Linked DNA regions of Caenorhabditis elegans. The protein of the gene in region 4 interacts with the protein of the main gene of each other region in a biochemical or structural test. Each region holds a gene or a part of one and is shown on either strand. Other genes may lie near its edges. The genes, in order: dmsr-7, frpr-16, dmsr-1 and flp-3.

Region 1 (5,697 bases), on a different chromosome or scaffold from region 4:
TCGGGAGAGAGAAATAAACGTCCAAAAGATCCATCACTCCAGTTGACGTCATTTTTCAAATTTGACAGCTCATCGGAGCAGCATCAACTTTCTGTCACTTTGATACTTGAGAGATGCGCACTTTTTTGCAGAGCAATATGTGATGGACAATAAATATGTTTCTTTTTGAAAACACATTTATTTATCACATGTGTACGCTTATTTTGGAAAATCTAAGCGGTCTCTGCAAAAATCCCCTGTTTTGGCATTCTTTGTGTCAATGATTAATTCTGGCGCGTCACAATTTTTGATCCTAGCTTCTTTTTGCAAAACTTAAAGCAACAAACCTTATAAGCGAGAAGAAGAACAATGGTTTCAATGCTAAATCTTCCACGGTCCACATAGTCACCAAGGAATAAATAATTCGCAGTCGGCGGCCATCCACCACGATGGAAGAGACGAAGAAGATCCGGGAATTGTCCATGGATGTCACCGCACACCTTTATCGGAGCATTCATTTCAACCATTGATTTCTGTCTTTTAAATACATCCAGTGCCAAATCGAGAAGCTTTAGAACTCGTCCTTCCGTGATCACTTCGGAAAGTAGCTTTTCGTGAGTACTAGCGCTCAGGACATCAATTATTATGTTGTCAACGACGTCGTCTTTCATAATCTAAAACATCAAACCTTTTTAACTTTTGATTCCTGGAAGAGAAAAAGAGAACTCACCTTTCGGAAATCACTTTCAATTGAAAATAATTTTTTTTCCTAGTTTTACTCACATCTACGTGTCTTTTTGTAAACAATTTTTTTTTCACGGCGCCGTGAATAATTTAATAATTTTGTAAACCATATTGATTTATATAAAAACTGAATTAATAAAAAACAAAAAGTACCCGTAACAAGAATAGAATAGAAAATGCGAAAGCTATGAAAATGAGCAAGATATCACAAAAAATCTGCAAAGGGAATTTGTACCGAGATCGAAAAAATTGGAATTTAAAGTTGATGTTCTCTACTGCTGTTCTGATTGTCCGACACGGAAGCTTCATACCGCCAATACTCATTGCGTGCTGGTTCCGGTTCAGTTGCCAGTGGCGTATAGCTTTGTTTTCTGCAAATTAAAGATAATATTTTCCAGACTTCAAAAACAAATTAACTGACCTTCCTAGTCGTAAGCTGTTGTTCAACTGAAGCTGTGAAAGTTCCGTCGGAGAACCACGACGGGTCGTCCACAATCTGAGAGGAAAAATTTTATTTTAGACTACTGTAACAGGAACTGGTTCAATAAGAATGAACTTACCCACAAGCCCACGAAGGAATGATAACTTCCCAAAACGTCTGCCGGTATCTTGAAGACATCACACAATATAAAACAAAATTTACAGAGGAATTGACAAGCGATAGGAGATCAAGAACATCACCAATGTAGAAATAGAGGTATCTGAAATGGAAAATTTAATTTTTCGAAAACTTCTTTAGCGCCCAATTTTAGCTTTAATTGGGCCAACAAAAATTTAGCAACACTTTTGCAAGACTCAGCCTGCACCCAAATTTCCAAAAATTCAAATGACTCAAGAAAAATTGGGTCAAGCTTGGGGCAGTTCGATTTCAGTTTTTCCAGGCCAAATTTCTAGTTAAACATCAAATCTTACCTATGAACGTCTGTAGTAAAAATTGCGCAAAGAATCGAGATGATTCCTTGTGGAAACTCCGTTATTAAAAATACCAATAAAATAACAACAAGCATCAATGTGGTTCTATCTGATGTTCCATTCTTTCTGAAAATTTCCATTTTGTCATAAAAGTTCTTTGAGAGTTGACTATACTTTTTCAATGGTTTTGAATCTGTTGATGCATTTGACGGAACACTCGTTAGTTTCCTCCGATGCTTTTCTGCGTCTCTAATCTTTGATACAAGGCCGAAAGACAAGAAAATTAGCAGAATACATGGAATGATCTGAAAACTGGTAGGACGTTTAATTTGATAACTCGCGTACTCGCTAACCTTGAACAGAATTCCAATCATCCAAATATTCCATTTAAACAACCGGCAATTGTTGATAGTCGCCGCGTGGCTGACCATAAAAGTGTACACCGGTTCAGAGTAGTTCGATGCAAATTTTTGACACGTTTTGCCAGGTCGCCAGTCATTTCCTTCTACACGGGCGATTTCGTGGACCAGCATATTTGGAATACAAAGTACAAATACGACCATATAGATTCCCAGGCACAACTTCCATGCGAACTTTGGTCGTTGCCATTGACTGAAAATTTCCAGATTTTTTAAGGGGGCCAACGTTTCTGGGTATATTGCTTGCAATGTCTTTGTAAAATTTCAATTTTAAATATTTTTGGATACCTACCATTGTTTGAAAAAAATTTTGAAAACTTTCATTACAAAACTTGTTCATCTTAGTGTATAAAAAAATGTTAGTCCCTTAAACTTTGCTCCCAGCATACCTATTCAAAGCGGTAACCCTTAATGTCATCCTCCGAATGAACGCCATCGCCACAGCGAGCCATAAAGAAGTTGTGTGTAGTGTGATGCTCAAAACAACATGCCACAATAGGAATTGTAACCAAGAATGAGTGAACGTTGGAGTGCTGTAATAAAATCTAATAATAAAAATTATTGAGTTTCATTGCAAACGCTTGTTTTCGTGTTTTTCAGTATCATTTTACGAGCGACTTTTCATCTTGAATTCACTTTTGTTATTTATGAATACACGTAGTTTGTAGCTTTGTGACGATTTTCAAAATTTCCTATGATCAATAAAATATGCAGTTGTTTTCATGTTTTGATGCACATAAAACGGATAGGAGGAAATAAATAGTTCCAGGTTCAACTAAAATTCTATGCCTCTTCAATTAAGTGCAGCAAGTGACGAACATGGGCATTCAACTTTTGAAATTCCATTATTACTTTGAGGATGTTTTTTTGTGTGTGTGTGTTGATACTTGAGTGGAAAAATAGAAGAATATAAATATCCTTCAAAATTTTCAATAGAAAGAGCACACTTAGTTTGAATTCTTGTTATTAATGGTTTGAGGTAGAGTTTGGAAAATAAGGATTTTGTTTCAAAGTATTCGAAATATTCAAATATATGCTGCATAATCAAAAAAAAAGGAAACTTAAAAAATCGAGAAAGATTTAAAAATGTCCAATTTTTGAAATTGCGAATTTTCATATTTGAATTTTTCCAAAATGAGAAGCCATGACTATTTTTAAACCAATCAGCGCCTTCGAACTCTACATCCTTTTTATGAAGTGACCGACATTTTCCGGGTTTTGCAATTCACCATAAAATTGGAATAGGAAAAACCAGAAAATAAATATTTTAAAGCTTGTGTTATTTTTCCAAAAATTCCATATTTGTTGATGTTCCTACTCAAAAGCCGCCACGCCGCTCCATTTCCCAAAACAAAAACATTTCCACCCAATAAACACACAAGAATTACCAGGAATTATTTCGTCGTAAGACAAAATGTATAATATAAATGAGATAGGATGCCATTGTTCCGATATCACAGACAGCCACTGCTGTCAGTATGCAGTTGACGGCCGAATTGCGCATGTTGGGTCTCGATAAAACTGCCACATGCACAAAATTGGTGAAGATACCAAAAACGCAGATGAGCACACATACATATCCGTGAATTGGCTGGTACCATCTGACAATTAATCATTGGTTCATTTTTCTTTTTTTGAAAGAAGTGCACAAAAAATAGTTTAACAAACCTTTGAAAATGTGCAAGTTTCCGAAGAAATGCCTGCGTACTGTTACTGTTCGGATCAAACAACTGAGCATCGTGCGGACATTCCATATCTAGCACATCCTTCAAAATGTTGAAAATTTAAGGGGTTTTTAAAGACCATTGAAACAAAGAAACATAAGGAGAAAATCAGAAGAAGCCAAGAGCAACAGGGTGGAATGCGTTCTGTGTTTTTTGAACTTTTAGATGACAGTCGGTTGTTGTGGAAGAAGCTGATCGAGTTTTCGAACAAAATATATAATTTCGTTTTTCAAAAAATTTACAAAATTATAGGTCACTGGCCGGAAGTTATTTTTGTTCCGTGAGTTGTTATTTCTATAGCAGGAAAATACTTTGAAAAATTGTAAAAATCTTTGATTGAAGATTTTTATTTTTTAAAAACTATTTCCTAGAGTAAAAAAAACCAAAAAACCTATTTTTTTGCCGGCCAGGGCGGTAGATTTGTTTGTTTTCGAAAACAAAGTGAGCGAAAAATTGCAAAAAACGCGTAAATTCTTTTGTAAATTTTGCATGTTTAAAAAAAAATGACACTCGAAACCGTAAAAGAGAGCCATATTTATCAAAATATTTATTATTTGGGTTTAAAACATTTTAAAATAATTTTTTTCGATTTCAGCAGATCTTGAAAATGCACAAAATAATTGGTAGGCATGTAGGCATGCCTGCCAACTTATCTTGGCAAGACTAGTCTTTTAAAACATAGTAAGCATATTTTTCAGCAGTTTTATAATTGCGATGATTATAATTGTGAAGCACACTCGTTCGTGAATGTTTAATCTTTCGCTCAACTTTCTGTTTCTTGTGAACATGTAACCTAGATCTAGGGCTTCTAGGTAGGCGCCAAACGACTGCCTACCTGCCGGACTTCAAAGTTAGGTCCACCTGCTTTTCATCAAATTAATCGAAATTCAAATTTATTGCTTTCAAATTTTATGCGCCTGCCTACCATGTTAGTCCTACCTAGAACAGAAACTTATTAGTTAAGTATAAAAGTTTTAAACTTTGGTATTTCATGCCACCATAAAACATATAAAATCAGGGGGCCATCTTGTGAAAATGTTTGTTGTGTGGTGCTGCTTCACACACACCGAAACATTTGAAACAGAATGGATTTCGAGACAGAAATGTGGCATTCAAAGTTAATGAATTCATCTTCCAGAGAAGATGAATCGGAAAATCGAATATTCTCACGACTTATGAATAAGGAAAACGTGGAAAAAAAAAGTTTAGGGGCGCAGGCGCAGTCAAAAGGGGAAGAAAGAAAGCTCAAGTCCCTTGGGAATTGAAGTGATGTGCCTATTGACTATTGACCACTGAACATTTCATCTTTGTTTCAAGAAATCAAAAGAGTGACCTAGCTAATTCTCTAACACCTTAAAATGCAGAGAGCCTAATTGGGGGAGAAATGAGAAAAATGCAGGAAAAAAGCTGAAAAGGGGCAAAAACTGGAGGAAGGAGAGGCGCTACCAATGGTGGATTGCGCACGTAACGTGTTCATTGTCTTTTTTACTCGAAACAAAATGGCGAAGCTTCTCCTCAAATTCAATTTGCAGTTCAAGCAGCTTCTAGTGCTTGAAAAGCAGTGACGAGACTGCATTATTTTCAAAGTGACGAGCAAAAAGGAGGAAAAAAAAAGAAGGACTAGAAGGAGGGGTAGGAATAGTGAGAGGAGAGAATTGGGATGCACAAATCACAACAAAACTTTGGGCAATGAAGAGGAGCCTTTCTTGGTTCCTTCTGGCTCCTCCACAAGTTTCCTAATGCTCAATTCTAGACTAATCTTTCAGATGGCTGTGCAGACTCCCGGATAGAATGATTCAGGCGGCTGCTTGGAATGCCTCCGTTTTTTTTCAGTTTGAGCACATTATTTAGTTACAGTGGCTCTGACTTTTGCTATCATACAAAGATACAAACAGGCCTAGAACGAAACAAAAAACAAT
Region 2 (4,359 bases), on a different chromosome or scaffold from region 4:
CGTGTTGGTTTTACCCTTTTCCGGGCACAAATCTAATCTTTTCTCGACTTTGACTCCATCTCGCCCACAAAAAACCTCTTCTCCCACATAAACAAATAACAATATGGTGATGGATGAGCGGGACCAGAAGAACATTCACGTTTCTTATTTAATCCGTTTTCATCAAATTGTTAGGATTCCGGTAATCTGAATTCCACCTGTACTTTTTTTTTCTGAAGTGCAACTATATCTTCCTTCCTTCTAGAATCCTCGTATTTTGAAGCATTTTCTTTTTTGCTCCATTTCCAAGAAACTTCGTACCAATTTTTAAATCCACCCTTCCCATTTTTCCGATAACTCTTTTCGGAATCCTGCTCAATATTTCCTTATGTGACAGCTCTTCTCGTCTACAATTCCCCCAACGCATTCACTTCAGGAAACACGTCAATGTTCAAATTTTTCTTTTTGAAAGATTCATGTACTGCATTCCCCTTCTTCTTCATCAATTTTCTTCCTCGTTGCCACATGTGTTATCTTTTTACGAGCTGAAAATGAAAACGACACAAAAAAAGAAAAATAAGTATTTAGCAGAAACCTCCATGTCTTTTTTCTCTCTTTTTTCAAACATTTCAACTGTCAAAACTAACACTAAGATCCGTGAGAGAAAAAACAATGCGTCTTTTAGTGGAGAGCTCAAAAGTTCAAATTATCTCATTGAGTTCTATGAGAATCAACATTTTCCACGCCTGATTCTATTCAATAGTTTGATGTCAACAGATTTGTATAAGCCCTGAACGGCATACGTTCAGGATATATAAATCTTTTCAATCAAATTATGATCTCATTATTTCTCTTTTTTCAATACACATTCCGCTGTCCAGAAGCATTTTCTATATAACTATTAAACTCTACGATGTTTTTTCTTCGAATAAATTTTCAGTGTTTTTGAAGTGATTCTTTGACACGATTCTTGATCCCAACACGAGCTAGTTTTACACGACTTATTGTACCAATTTCAAGAGTTAGGTTAAGCTTCAATAAAATACAATTTTTTCGGAAAAAACCTAAATAAATTCTCCTTCCGGGAACTCTTTTCTGTATTTCTCACAATTTTTGCAACTGTGTTAAGCTCCCATCACTTAAGTGGTACTCGAGTAGAACAAAAGCATAACATAGTTACTTTAAGACCACATTGAAAAAATTATGGCTAGAACTATTATGAAAGGTTATTTCACTGGACTGCCTGTAAATAAATTAACGATGAATCTTAACAAATGCCGTTTCTTGATAAACGTTTTCGAATGGAAGTTTGCATTGTGCTCAGTTGGTACTAAATTATGTAGAGTGAATGTGAGTAAAGTATATATAAAACCCTAAAGTTCAATAAAGTTTCAATGGTGAAATCATTCGAAACTTCCACCTGAGTCATGATTGAATTGAATAAACAAATTATCGTAGTTTCAAATTATTAGATTATTAAAATCAATTCTCCATTCCCAATTTCCTTATAAAAGTCACCCCCGTACATATTCCATAAAGAAAATTGAAATTATAATTTCAAAACATTATTTTATTGAAATACCGTATTTCAAATTTCTAAAATATTCTGAACTTTTGTGCAGTCGTTTGAATATTCAATGCATCGTCATTTTTTGTTCCAAATTGAATCCTTATTCTGCTCAATTTTCTATTGGTCTCCTGGTCGTCTTCTAAGTACAAAAAGTTTCACCTTCTTCTTCTCCTTTTTCCACAACTCACACCTCTTGTGGATCCATGAATAAAATAAATTATCCCCTCCCTCAGCTGCCCATTTTCTAAAGCGCTATCCGTTTTTTCTTCGGTTTTTTCTTTCATTTCCGTTTCCACCCACCCAAACTTTCTTCCTTTTCTTACAGAATCTTCACACTTTTGAACACATTATGAATCGGTACGAGTTCTACGAGCTAAAATCATGGATGTATTTACCTGTAATTTTCATTGGACTTCTTGGAAACTTTGCATCATTTTTAGTTTATCGAACAGCGCCGATGAGAAAATCTACAGTAATCTAATTTCAAAGTTTTACAGAAAATTCAAAAAATTCTTTCAGGTTGGCACTCTTCTTCTTATTCTCTCACTCATTGACATTCTGCTGCTCATCCTGATAACTCCCATTTTTGTTCTTGTTTTTCTGCCACTCTGGTGAGTTTATTGAAAGTCTCTCGGGAATGTTTTTCACATCAAACATCAGATTTCAGGCAGGACCAATGGCAAAAATATTCGTTTCATATGAGCTTCTTTGCTTACAGTACACGATATGTTTATCCATTATGTATGATGACAAAATCATGTAGTTTATATCTAATGGTACTTATAACCATTGAACGATGGATTGCTGTATGTAGACCACTTCAGGTAAATTCTAAATTTTAAGTCTTGAATTTAAATTTGTATATTTTCAGGCAAAAGTATTATGCACAAACAGGAATACAATGAAAGCTGGAATTTTCATTATCATATTTTCCATAGTGTTTAATTTTCCAAGATTTTTCGATTATAAAATTGGGTAAGTTTTAAATATTTTAAAGTTTTTCATAAAACATACCTGCCTGTCTATCACCTAATTTCTGTGTTGCTAAACTCTGTGCTACCTAATCGCACAGGGTAGTTTTACAAAATTTTCATTACAATTGTTAACCTGATACGTTTTTTGGACAATTAAGGAGAAAATTTATTACGACGCTCGATTATTAATCTCAAATTTGATTTGCAGAGACGGGTATCTATCTGAAATGTGGATGTTGGATACAGAGAAACACTGGTGGTACTTCATGTTCTACTTCATCATATTATCAGTAATCTTCGATTACTTCCTTCCGTTCCTTATCATGACTATCGCCAATTATCATGTCATCAGAGCACTTCAAGAAAGCGACGAGGTTATCACAGGCTTGGCCGTTCAGAAGCGAAAAGATCAGAAAACAACTGTAATGCTGCTAGTGGTAACCATTTTCTTCGCGTTCTGCCATCTATTCTCAATGTTTCTCAAAGTTGCTGAAAGTATTTTTGGAGGATTCCTTACACAAACCGTAAGTTGTAAACTCCTGAACTATTGAATAAATAATTTATAAATTTCAGAGTTTCTACTGGGAAGTGTTCGCCGAGTTCACAATCTTTTTGATAATCTTCCATACGTCAAGCACTTTCTTCATATACTACGGATTTTCGGAGAAATTTCGAACAATATTCCATGACATCATCAGGTAACTAAATAAATAAACTTCACCCTCACTTCTTCAAAGTTGCACGTTCGCAATGTGAATTATAAAAAAGAGGATTAAAAGAAGTGAGGATTTCGACAAATATCTTAGAATTCGAATTTCATTCAATTTATCAACTATTTTCAGATGTCGCCAAAGGCTGGATGATGTAAAATGCTCGACCTACTTGCCAGTTAACTCATCTGGAGCTGTTTCTGAATCAAAAACAAGAAAAGCTCCGGCAATTGTTTAATTAGAAATAGACTCTTATTTGTTTGAATACTTGTTTTCTTTTTATGTTTTAGATATCTGGTCCCGGTTTTTGTCAAACAAACAATTATGAAACGGGTGAATGAATCTGTCATATTTCCAGTTTGTATTATGAACTTGAAATAATACCAATGAAAATGAAAATAGAGTTTTGAGAACTAATAATTCACATTCTCAGCCTGAAATATTAAAAAAATAGAAAAAAATTTGGCCGAATTTACAAGAAACCAGAAAAAGATATTTTGTGAACAGCAAGCACCTCTCCAGGCATTTGAAAAATTTTGCAGGATCTGAAAGTAATTTAAACAGATTCCAAATTATGGGAACTCTCGAAATATGATTTTTAAAAATTTTTCTGTAGTTCTGTTTTTCTTTTCGAAAACCAAATTTTTATTGTTTCTTTTCTGCGTCCTACTCCTCTTTGAGAAAAAACCACACAAAAAATTCTTTGAGACCCTATCAAATGTCAGAATTTGAAGACCCACTGTGAATATATGAGGCCCCCCTATTACCATCGTTTTTACAAAAAATTCATTCTAAATTCCACGAAATGCCATTTTCCAAATATTGCCAATTTGTCACAATTGGAAGAAGAGTACAACGACAAAAGACGTCACTCTTCAAAGGTGCTTCATCCTTTTTTCCTCAATTCTTGCTCATAATCTTCTGCCTAGCTTGTTCGTTTCTGCACTCACACGTGGTCATGGAGCCGCCCCCAATGAATTGGACGGAAGAAGGTATCAATTCATCTTCAAATCATCTTATTGTTTCTTCGGAGAGCACACACACACATCTCATCATTCACCACCTGCTTCCGTCCGTGAGCACTTATCATTGTGAATTGAATGATAGTACCCACCAATCTTTAGAG
Region 3 (5,731 bases), on a different chromosome or scaffold from region 4:
GGAGAATTTGCTTCAAATGTTCCATCCAGAGATTGTTCAATGTCACCAATTCGAAACTTGGGAACTCAACTAAAACGCCACGTCACGATCTCAACACCAGAAAGAGCTGTTGTTTCCAAGTAGCTACTAGTTTATTTTTTTCAATTTGTGTAGCCAGAAACCGAAAAAGAACATTCCGAAACGGGTTGTGCGTTTTCTTCTACTTTTCTCCCCCACTTGATGCTTTCATTATAGTCAGCTTTTCTGTTTTTTTCTCTTTCATTTCGGCACCCGGTAACTTTGTCGGTTAATTGATCTCTAGCTATTACTTTCCATTGACAAATAAAAGATTGCTATGCCGAAACATTTTTACAAGTTGGAAGATTATCCTTTTTAAGTAAGTGTTTTAATTACACGGTGACATACGACTGTCATGTTTGCCATCAATATTTTTGTGATGGCATGATAAAAAATTCATTTAAACCAGAAAAATGCTTATGAAAATCAATCTATGTCTACCTACTATGGGAGCTAGTTTGAAGTTCTCCGAGGATACAATATTCCCAATTCTGCAATTTTCATTCATAAAAGGTTGTCATATACATAAATCAATAACCTCAATATGCAAATTGAAAGAATTTTAATTTCTGAACAATTACTTTATTTTTTTTTTCAATTCTGAAAAGTTTAAAGATTTAAAAAAAAAGTATGTTACTAATAAAAAACAAGATTCATTAATAGGACACGCTTAAGAAGAAATCAACGTAATCAGAAAATTGAAATAGAAACCCGTGAATATGGTAAATACTAATGGTTTTGTTCTGACACGTGTTGCAATTTGTGTGTTTAAAAAATTCTGATATCAAATGTTTTGAAAGTGTCCACGAATTCCATCAGCACTGGCTGTTGAGTTGGGTCCTGAGCTGTTAAGTAGATGTGATGTCTCATCAGTGGATTCATCTTCTCCACTTCGAATCGGTGGAAGTGGGGATGATGGAAATGATGTTGGCATTGGAGAACATGGAGTAATTGAATCACATCCAGTCATTCTCGTTATTTCCGTACTGTTTCTTCGTACCTGGATTCCGACCATCTGAAAATTAACATGGCTTATTCAAAAGTTTTGTAGAAAAAACATGTGTTGATATTCTTACTTTAACACTTGCTGACCTTGTATCTTCCGAATAAGTGCCATTTCCATTCATTCCATTTCCGTTTTTCTCGTTTGGTTTTAGAAAAGTCATTTTTGTGGTACTGTAGGCGTCGGATGGACGACGAATCGACGGCGATGACATTCGGAGACATCTCACCTTTGCAGGTACAAAGACACGGTGGAATTCCTAAAAATTTTATGATTTTTCTATATTGAAAATGAACCAATTTTTATTTATAGAAATCAAATGAAAATGCTTGTTCCCTGTGTTAAAATGAACTAAACACACATTCATAAAATGAGCAAAGTATGTACTTCCATGATTTTTCTTGTAAAAACAACTCCGCAATTGTCGGAAAATGTAGAGATCTTAAGCGCATTTTAAGACGCTGCCGAACATCATGTTAGTAAGAAAACAAAGAAAAAAAAGACAAATTCGCTTGGAAAGTTCCACCGAATGTTGAGAAAGTTTGTAGTATTTTCTAACAGCATACAACACATTTTTCATTGAGGTATTTTGAAAAGATGTCGCTCATTGAAATTTTTTTCAAGTAATATCAAAACTTACATTTCTGAACTGTCCACTCATTGAGCAGTAAATGATGAATGAACAACATGAACCGCAAAGTGAGAACAAATCGAGAATGTCTCCCAGATTGTTATAAATGTAAATTCGGAATTCTTCAGAACACATTCCAGACAAGACAGCCATAATTCCTTGAGGTAATTCAGTCACTAGCATAACTGCTACAATTGCCAATAACATATGAGTTGTCCGATCGACACGTTCTCCTCTCCCCCGTAAGCTTCCATTTCTGCCTAATTTCTCGTTGCCTGCAACTGAAATGCTCAGTCTTTGTCCGTTTCGAGTAGTCGTTTGATTCGGTGGTCGATGTTGCGAGTTCTTGAGAAGACGTTGACGATTCTCACGCACTTCACGAAGAATTCGTAAAAGGAGCCAAACAAACAACGATAGAAGCGCACATGGTAATACTTTGAATACCATACCGGATATCCAATAAGATAACCGGAAGACCTGCAGGAAATTAGGAAATTGGTTTTTGCTAGGGTGACGATCACGATGATAAATATTATTTTGTATAATTTTCATGATATCATATGTACATATGATCGATCAATTATTTCCAAAAAGGTTTATATAAATCCAAAGCTTCAAAGTTATATTATGATGATCTTGCCAAAATTTTTAGTTTATAAATCTAAGTTCCAATAAAAAAGTTTTTCGAGAAATTTTGTTTGTATACAATTTGTCAAACATTATTTTTTAACAAAAATCTTGTTTTTTTTTTACTGAAATTCAAAAATCTTACCAGACAGCTGTTTGCTTTTGCAATGTCTGCAATTCCAGGAAGATACGCGGGCGAATTCCAGAACATTGGATCCAAATCGGTACACGTTTCATTCAATGGCTGTTCATTGATTTTGTAATTCAGAAAATTCGGTGCATTAAGCACTGCTACAAGGGATACAGTAACAGCAACGGCATAATAAGAATGCCTTAACGTCACTTGCATACCACCCATATTTCCCCTACTTCGAAGTGTTACATATCGAACAAGTGCAAGCATAACTGCAATAAAATCGAAGAGTTGGACAGTTGTCTTCAGAATGAAAAGCTTACCTGACAACCAAACACTTGAAGAATGTGCAACTAATGAAAGATGAGCATGAGCAATTAAAAATAACGCCCAAGAGTAGGACCAATGTTTCGGATGACAAAACTTGAAAGCGACAAATGAGTAATGTGTTGTGTATATTAAATTTGAAAATAACACAACTGTATCACAAGATGCCATTGCTGTCAAAATCATATTAACTGGCGTTCGCATTGTTCGTCTCGTTAGTACGACGATGTTACAGAAATTAGCGATTGTACCCAACACGCATAGAAATATTGATAAGTAGGCATGTATAGGATGGTAGAAATTATATACACTTCTGAAAAAAAAACGTTTAATTTCACTTTTTTCCACTTTTGCTCTTGAAATATTTATTAATGGCTCTCTTTTTTATGGTCATCACTTTTGAGGACACAATAATTTAAGATAAGATAACCTTCTTCAATAACTTGGTTTTATTCGCTATTTTTAGGGATGATTTCTACAAATAATAGGATAACTTTTAATGATGATAAACTGTACTTTTTGAAAATACGTCAAATACAACAGTACTGGGCAATTATTTGAAAGATTTTTGAGACACAAAAGTAAAACTTACACAAAAACATCGTATAAAAAACTTTTATCGGGCAGATGAATAAATGTAGTTTTGCATTCGGTAAACTCCATTTTGTTTGCTGTTCCTCTGTTCTATTGTTTCTGATTCTATTTGAACATCTGAAAAAAAACAACAATTTATTAATATTGAAACGTTGAAAATGAGGAAAACAAGCGTTCAAATGAAAAACGGCTCCGATTCGGAAAACCGGAAAACGTCATTAGAAATGAGAGATGACTATGAAAAAAATGACAAAAGGGACAAAGATTTGGCAACACATTGCTCATTCACTTTTTAAAACAAAAACACTCAAATAATAGGGTGAGTGTGTTTTTTTGGAACAAAAAAACTAACAAAAATATACTGCAAGCTTTTGCTCAAAAATCTAAGATAAACACCAATTATTGCCAATTAGGGAGATCTTGCAGATAAAACTTCCTTAAAGAAATCATTATTCAGAAATTGAAGGAGTTGCAAAATCAGAAAATATAAAAATAAAAATAGCACAGGAAGTTTAATGATTTTTTTACTGGGAAAATTAAGAGTACAATTGAAAAAAGAGAGCCAAAAAGTTTTGAATGAACTTCAGAAGGAATAATTTGCATAAACTGAACAAGATTAATACATTCAAAAGTACACAAATTTTCGGAAAAATTGATATGCACTATACCAAATTCATATTCACATTCGTTTTTTGATTAATTTTTTTGCCGCTACACAATTTCGGCAATTGAGCATGTATTCGATTACAAAGAAAATGTCACAAATTCCAGGCACTTGGAAAAATAAATTGATAATTATTTCTTTTTCTATCACTTGGAAGAAGAGTTGTTTTTAAATGCCCGCTATTTCAGAGAGACATCACGTCATTAAAAACCATAAACGTTACGCATTTTGAAAAATAGAAAATTCAAAAACCTAAATGGATATCTCAACAGCTTTTTGTCACTATTTCACTGTCTCTTCACTTCAAAACACACACATATATATATATATATATATATATATATATATATATATATATGTGCAATATCCGTATCTACTTCCAACCGCTATTCGATCACTAAAAGAAACTCAAAACAAGCCTCGCTTCCTAGTCCTTCCGTTCGCCGCCATGATGGGCCCAGTATCTAAGCATGGGCGGAATTTGTTGCTTTTTTACTCAAAAAAAAGAACCTTTTTTATGTTGAGCACGGACAGATAAACGCAGAGCGGGGTGCAACGCATCTCTCCCCGACAAAAAATAACATCAGAATATAACCAAATTTCGGTCAGCGCTCGGAAGTGTGTGAGGCGGCCTAGCGCGCTCCAACTCTAATTACAGAGCGGATAAGGTTTGGATAGATATTTCCAAAGTTAGTCATGTGTTGATCCGTGACCACATGTCAGGTGAGCACCCATTTCCGGAGTCACTTCAGGAAAAAAACTCATTGAGCTGACTCTCGTGCCAGAGGAATTTTTCGCACTTATCATTAAAGAAAACGACAAAAGTTTATGCTGAAAATGAAAATATTTGCCGGAATTCGGTTTGAAGTTACGATAAAAAAGTAAAAGGTACAAGATCAAACTCCACTGGCAAACATATCCCAAGTATTGAAAATTTTAAGCATAATTACTTTTGAGTTAGGGGAAGGAAAATGATGGAAGTCCGGTTAGGTCGGATTTTCCTATATTGCTTGTTAAATCATTTTTGTGTATTAAATTGTATTGAAAAATAGCTGAAAAATAAGGATTATTATAACTTCTCTTATTTTACTTTTTAAAATTATTTTTTGTGACGTCGAACTTTAAAATGCAACGCCAAAAGTTTCCACAATGCAATCAAATCCTTTATACTTAAAACATCAAAATCCAACAACATGTAAACATATTTACAGAACAGAAAATTCTAAAAATATTACAAACTTGTAAACAAGTTGATAGTTGAGAAGACCTATCAAGAAGTATGATACGAGTGAGAGTACAAAAAGTACCCACAAGAAGTATCAAACTCGGAGAAAAAGATGGAAGGTACGGGGCCAAATAAAAAAACCGACGGATGTTGAGACCGAGAAAAATGCAAATTCTGAAGCTAACCGAATTTGTGACAGTGGATGGGCTCTTTGCCTAACTTAAACGAAACTTCATGTGACCTTACGAATGACGCAACTATTTCTGCACATAAAAAGGTGACAGAAGAAGAAGCCGTAGGATAAACTGACCAAACTTAGAGAGATGAGGACAATGAAATTCTTTTCTTTTTGCATTCCATATTTTCCCCGTCTTCTCATTTTCATATTTCTTTATAAATTCAGTCGCCCGTCCAATTGAATTCATTCAATTCGAGGAGGAGGAGGATGAGAGGAAGAAGAAATGGAATGC
Region 4 (3,363 bases):
TTGGAAAAACAACATAAATCAAGCTTAAAACCCAAACACATATTTGGAAACGTCATGTATTCTTACTAGAATCACTTCTTACAAAAATGTTTAATACACTTGCAGATCGATAGAATTTATTTTATTATTTTCAGTTTCGGAAAACGATTCAATCCGCTGCCAGATTACGACTTCCAATAACTCCATCCTATCAATGATTCAATGCACGGTGAACCCCACTACTCAGCCAACATCATATTAGATATTCCAACATTTTCTTCCCATTCTCGTCCTATATTTTGATCCGTACTTTCAATGCAACAACATTTTTTAAACTATGTTTCCTATAACTTCGAATAAAGTGGTTGGGTTCCGCATGGAATAATAGCCCATCTGTTAACCAAGTCTTACGTTTTCTTCGCGAACAAAGGAAACGACTACTGGCACTGAATTTCAGATTTTAGCCAGATTAGGTCAGAAAACGAGGCACACTATTTTCAAGATCAAAATTTTAAAATTCAGTCTTGCTAGTTCTTCAAAGAATTGTTTCGGAAATGTCAATGAGTGCTCATAATTAAACATGTGGAGTGACTTTGGAAGGTGCTAGAATTTCCAAGAAGCTTTGATTTATTAGTTTTCGTTTTAATTTCAAAACACTGTTCAATCTTGAGAACAAGATTAGTTCAACCTACTTAATCATTTCTCGCGTTCTGACAAGTGACGTTTTTGACAAAAAATAATGTTTAATTATTCAAAAACAGAAAATCCCCCCTCCTTAAAGCTCAGTTCATTAATCAGCTTCGCTTCACAAATTCGACAAGGTGGCATCTCAACCAACAGGCACCAATCGGATTCTGTCATTTCTTTCTTTTTTGAGAACAAATGTCTATCTACGTTTTGAACTAACACCAGTCCCGGTTTAAATTTCGTACCTGACAATTATCAATCAAGACTTACATTTGACTAGCTGTGCACGCAAAGATTTAATAATTGGCGGTGGGCTGTGTGAGAGTTGATGTCACAAAGTTACAGTATCCCATCAAAAAAATGGGTTCGAGTCGTCATTCTCGTTATCCATCTAGGCTTGAATTATGATGTTGAACATCAAAATTTATAGGTTTTTCGAGAGATCCCACCTCTTCCGTTAACCGCCGCCCCGTTTCAACACAATTCTTTCAGTTTCAAATTATTAACCTGAACTTTGAAAACTACCACCTACGCTTCTTCTACTAATTTCGAGTGTCTTTTTAGACTCAATTATCTTATTTCTTTTCTTAGAGTATTCCAAAAATGTCACATGACGATGCATAAATTGAGGTGCCACCGTTTTTTAATAGAAACTCTGGCCGCAATAAAAGAGCAATAGCATTGTTACTTGGCAATTTGTTTGAAGGAGTGTTGGGCGGCGGTAGACGTCGTACGTCAAATCGTGCATTTTCGAAGTCTTTTCTCGACACAATAGTAATCGTTTGACCTGTGCATTGCAACATCAAGGGACCACTTACTTTTTAGAAACCCGCCCCTTTAAACCAAATTGCCAACGCCTCCAATTTTTACCTGACAATAGAATGTACCGAGTACTTATTAAACAAAGTTGTTCGCCAAAGCTCAGATTTTCAATAATTTTTGAGCACCGGATTTCAATTTTACTCGTTTCACATGAACATTTTTCTAACTGCACACAGTATTTACGCATTCCTGACCAAATTTCTAAAACCCCACACACCTCTTCCGGCATGACAACTGAACCGTTAAAATTGTTGAAATTAAGCTCATATAAAAACATGCAAATATCTCGGCGGTTCACAACCTCACTTCTACTTCTTCTTGACTAAATTTTCCGTAACTAATTGTTATATTTTAAGGTACCCCTTGTGTGTTAGCTCCCGCGTAACACCACCATAACCACCAATGATATCGCCCAATCACCTCATCCTGCTCTTCTGTGTGAATTGCGCGTTTTTGGTAGCGTCGGGTAGGAGAATAGAAATTATGTTTTTGAAATAGAATGAAAAGTATTTAGATGCCACACCAAAACGGTCTCCACTGGGAACAATGCGCTTTGGCAAACGAGCCATTGCTGATGAAATGACATTTGAGGAGGATGGATACTATCCGTCAAATGTAATGTGGAAGCGGTCTACTGTTGATTCTTCGGAGCCCGTCATTCGTGATCAGCGCACTCCATTGGGAACTATGCGTTTTGGAAAACGAAGTGCAGGTATTATACAAATAATTAATTTTCAAAAACTATACCCACCTGTTTCCAGAGCCATTCGGTACTATGCGTTTTGGAAAACGTAATCCTGAGAACGACACACCATTCGGAACAATGAGATTTGGAAAGCGTGCTAGTGAGGATGCTCTGTTTGGAACCATGCGTTTTGGAAAGAGAGAAGACGGTAATGCGCCATTTGGAACAATGAAATTTGGGAAACGTGAAGCAGGTATACAGTTCTGTACTAAAGTTTGATTTCACAATGTTATGCTTTTAGAAGAGCCACTTGGAACTATGCGCTTTGGAAAAAGATCAGCTGACGACAGTGCTCCATTTGGCACAATGCGCTTTGGCAAAAGAAACCCTCTTGGAACCATGCGCTTTGGAAAATAATTTCTATTTTCACTTTTCACGTTTATATTATTCTCGCTTCAACTAAGTTTTCATGTTCAACACCCCCGCAGCAGTGGCACTCTCTTTTAACATTATTTATCATTCTGGCTTCTAATTCATACCAAAATATACCGAAACGATTGCATAATTCTTGGGCTTTTGCAAAAAACTAAGGAAAAACGACTATTCCATAATACCCCCTTCTCTGTTCTTCTCATCAAGTGGTTTGCATAGATTGGAGAATAAATTAATGTTATTATTCACTTTGTTAAATTTTGTTGTTAGTTGTTCACGCTTGACCAAAATAGTTAGCTAGCAAACTGTAAGATTCTCAAATTTAGTCTTTGCTTTTGATGGAGAAATTCTCGAACACAATTTCATGGTTCGCTCGTCCGCTTTCATCATCCGATTGGCCAAAACTTCCGGTGTTTTCCCCTTTAGACACTTGAAAACAAATATGAATTCGAACATTTCAGATGTTTACAGAAGACCAACATGTGCCAACCAATGAATGCGTGGAAACTGCCGGCTTCTTAAAGAAGTTTACTCAGCCTACTCACAATAGAACTATCACTAAAGCACAGAGTCAAGGAAAAAAATATTATGGATGAACTGCAAATTAAAAATAAAACGCTGAATGTTCACAATAAACGCATATTTTCCCTTTTCTGCTTATTCGTTTTGTTCTTATTCTGAACAGTCATCGTTACTAGTTCACAATGTTATCTGTTGCTTCATTTTTTGTATATTAAAAATGGAGTTATAAAATGCAG

Evidence for each region.
Region 1: the proteins of flp-3 (region 4) and dmsr-7 interact in a test that uses a peptide from one of them, tested with the Caenorhabditis elegans proteins (one large-scale study listed by BioGRID).
Region 2: the proteins of flp-3 (region 4) and frpr-16 interact in a test that uses a peptide from one of them, tested with the Caenorhabditis elegans proteins (one large-scale study listed by BioGRID).
Region 3: the proteins of flp-3 (region 4) and dmsr-1 interact in a test that uses a peptide from one of them, tested with the Caenorhabditis elegans proteins (one large-scale study listed by BioGRID).

The regions. Positions count from the first base shown.
Region 1 is NC_003283.11:5,403,481-5,409,177, reverse strand, and holds dmsr-7 (G-protein coupled receptors family 1 profile domain-containing protein), read right to left. Parts: upstream 3,826-5,697; 5' UTR 3,809-3,825; coding exon 3,723-3,808; intron 3,656-3,722; coding exon 3,443-3,655; intron 2,588-3,442; coding exon 2,444-2,587; intron 2,248-2,443; coding exon 1,989-2,247; intron 1,941-1,988; coding exon 1,810-1,940; intron 1,762-1,809; coding exon 1,636-1,761; intron 1,425-1,635; coding exon 1,284-1,424; intron 1,220-1,283; coding exon 1,145-1,219; intron 1,095-1,144; coding exon 980-1,094; 3' UTR 792-979; downstream 1-791. Other genes in the region: C25A6.1 (Serine/threonine-protein phosphatase), read right to left, coding at 327-650.
Region 2 is NC_003280.10:6,028,722-6,033,080, reverse strand, and holds frpr-16 (G-protein coupled receptors family 1 profile domain-containing protein), read left to right. Parts: upstream 1-1,874; 5' UTR 1,875-1,898; coding exon 1,899-2,021; intron 2,022-2,068; coding exon 2,069-2,160; intron 2,161-2,216; coding exon 2,217-2,373; intron 2,374-2,420; coding exon 2,421-2,524; intron 2,525-2,731; coding exon 2,732-3,047; intron 3,048-3,096; coding exon 3,097-3,221; intron 3,222-3,365; coding exon 3,366-3,471; 3' UTR 3,472-3,590; downstream 3,591-4,359.
Region 3 is NC_003283.11:11,436,528-11,442,258, reverse strand, and holds dmsr-1 (G-protein coupled receptor dmsr-1), read right to left. Parts: upstream 3,490-5,731; 5' UTR 3,442-3,489; coding exon 3,371-3,441; intron 3,092-3,370; coding exon 2,775-3,091; intron 2,724-2,774; coding exon 2,464-2,723; intron 2,169-2,463; coding exon 1,701-2,168; intron 1,320-1,700; coding exon 1,134-1,319; intron 1,073-1,133; coding exon 842-1,072; 3' UTR 695-841; downstream 1-694. Other genes in the region: F57B7.2 (SCP domain-containing protein), read left to right, coding at 1-123. UniProt on the Caenorhabditis elegans protein: G-protein coupled receptor.
Region 4 is NC_003284.9:10,091,446-10,094,808, reverse strand, and holds flp-3 (TPLGTMRF-amide), read left to right. Parts: upstream 1-1,844; 5' UTR 1,845-1,890; coding exon 1,891-1,954; intron 1,955-2,002; coding exon 2,003-2,200; intron 2,201-2,249; coding exon 2,250-2,426; intron 2,427-2,474; coding exon 2,475-2,590; 3' UTR 2,591-2,863; downstream 2,864-3,363. Other genes in the region: flp-2 (SPREPIRF-amide), read left to right, coding at 135-180. UniProt on the Caenorhabditis elegans protein: FMRFamides and FMRFamide-like peptides are neuropeptides. SAEPFGTMRF-amide inhibits the activity of dissected pharyngeal myogenic muscle system.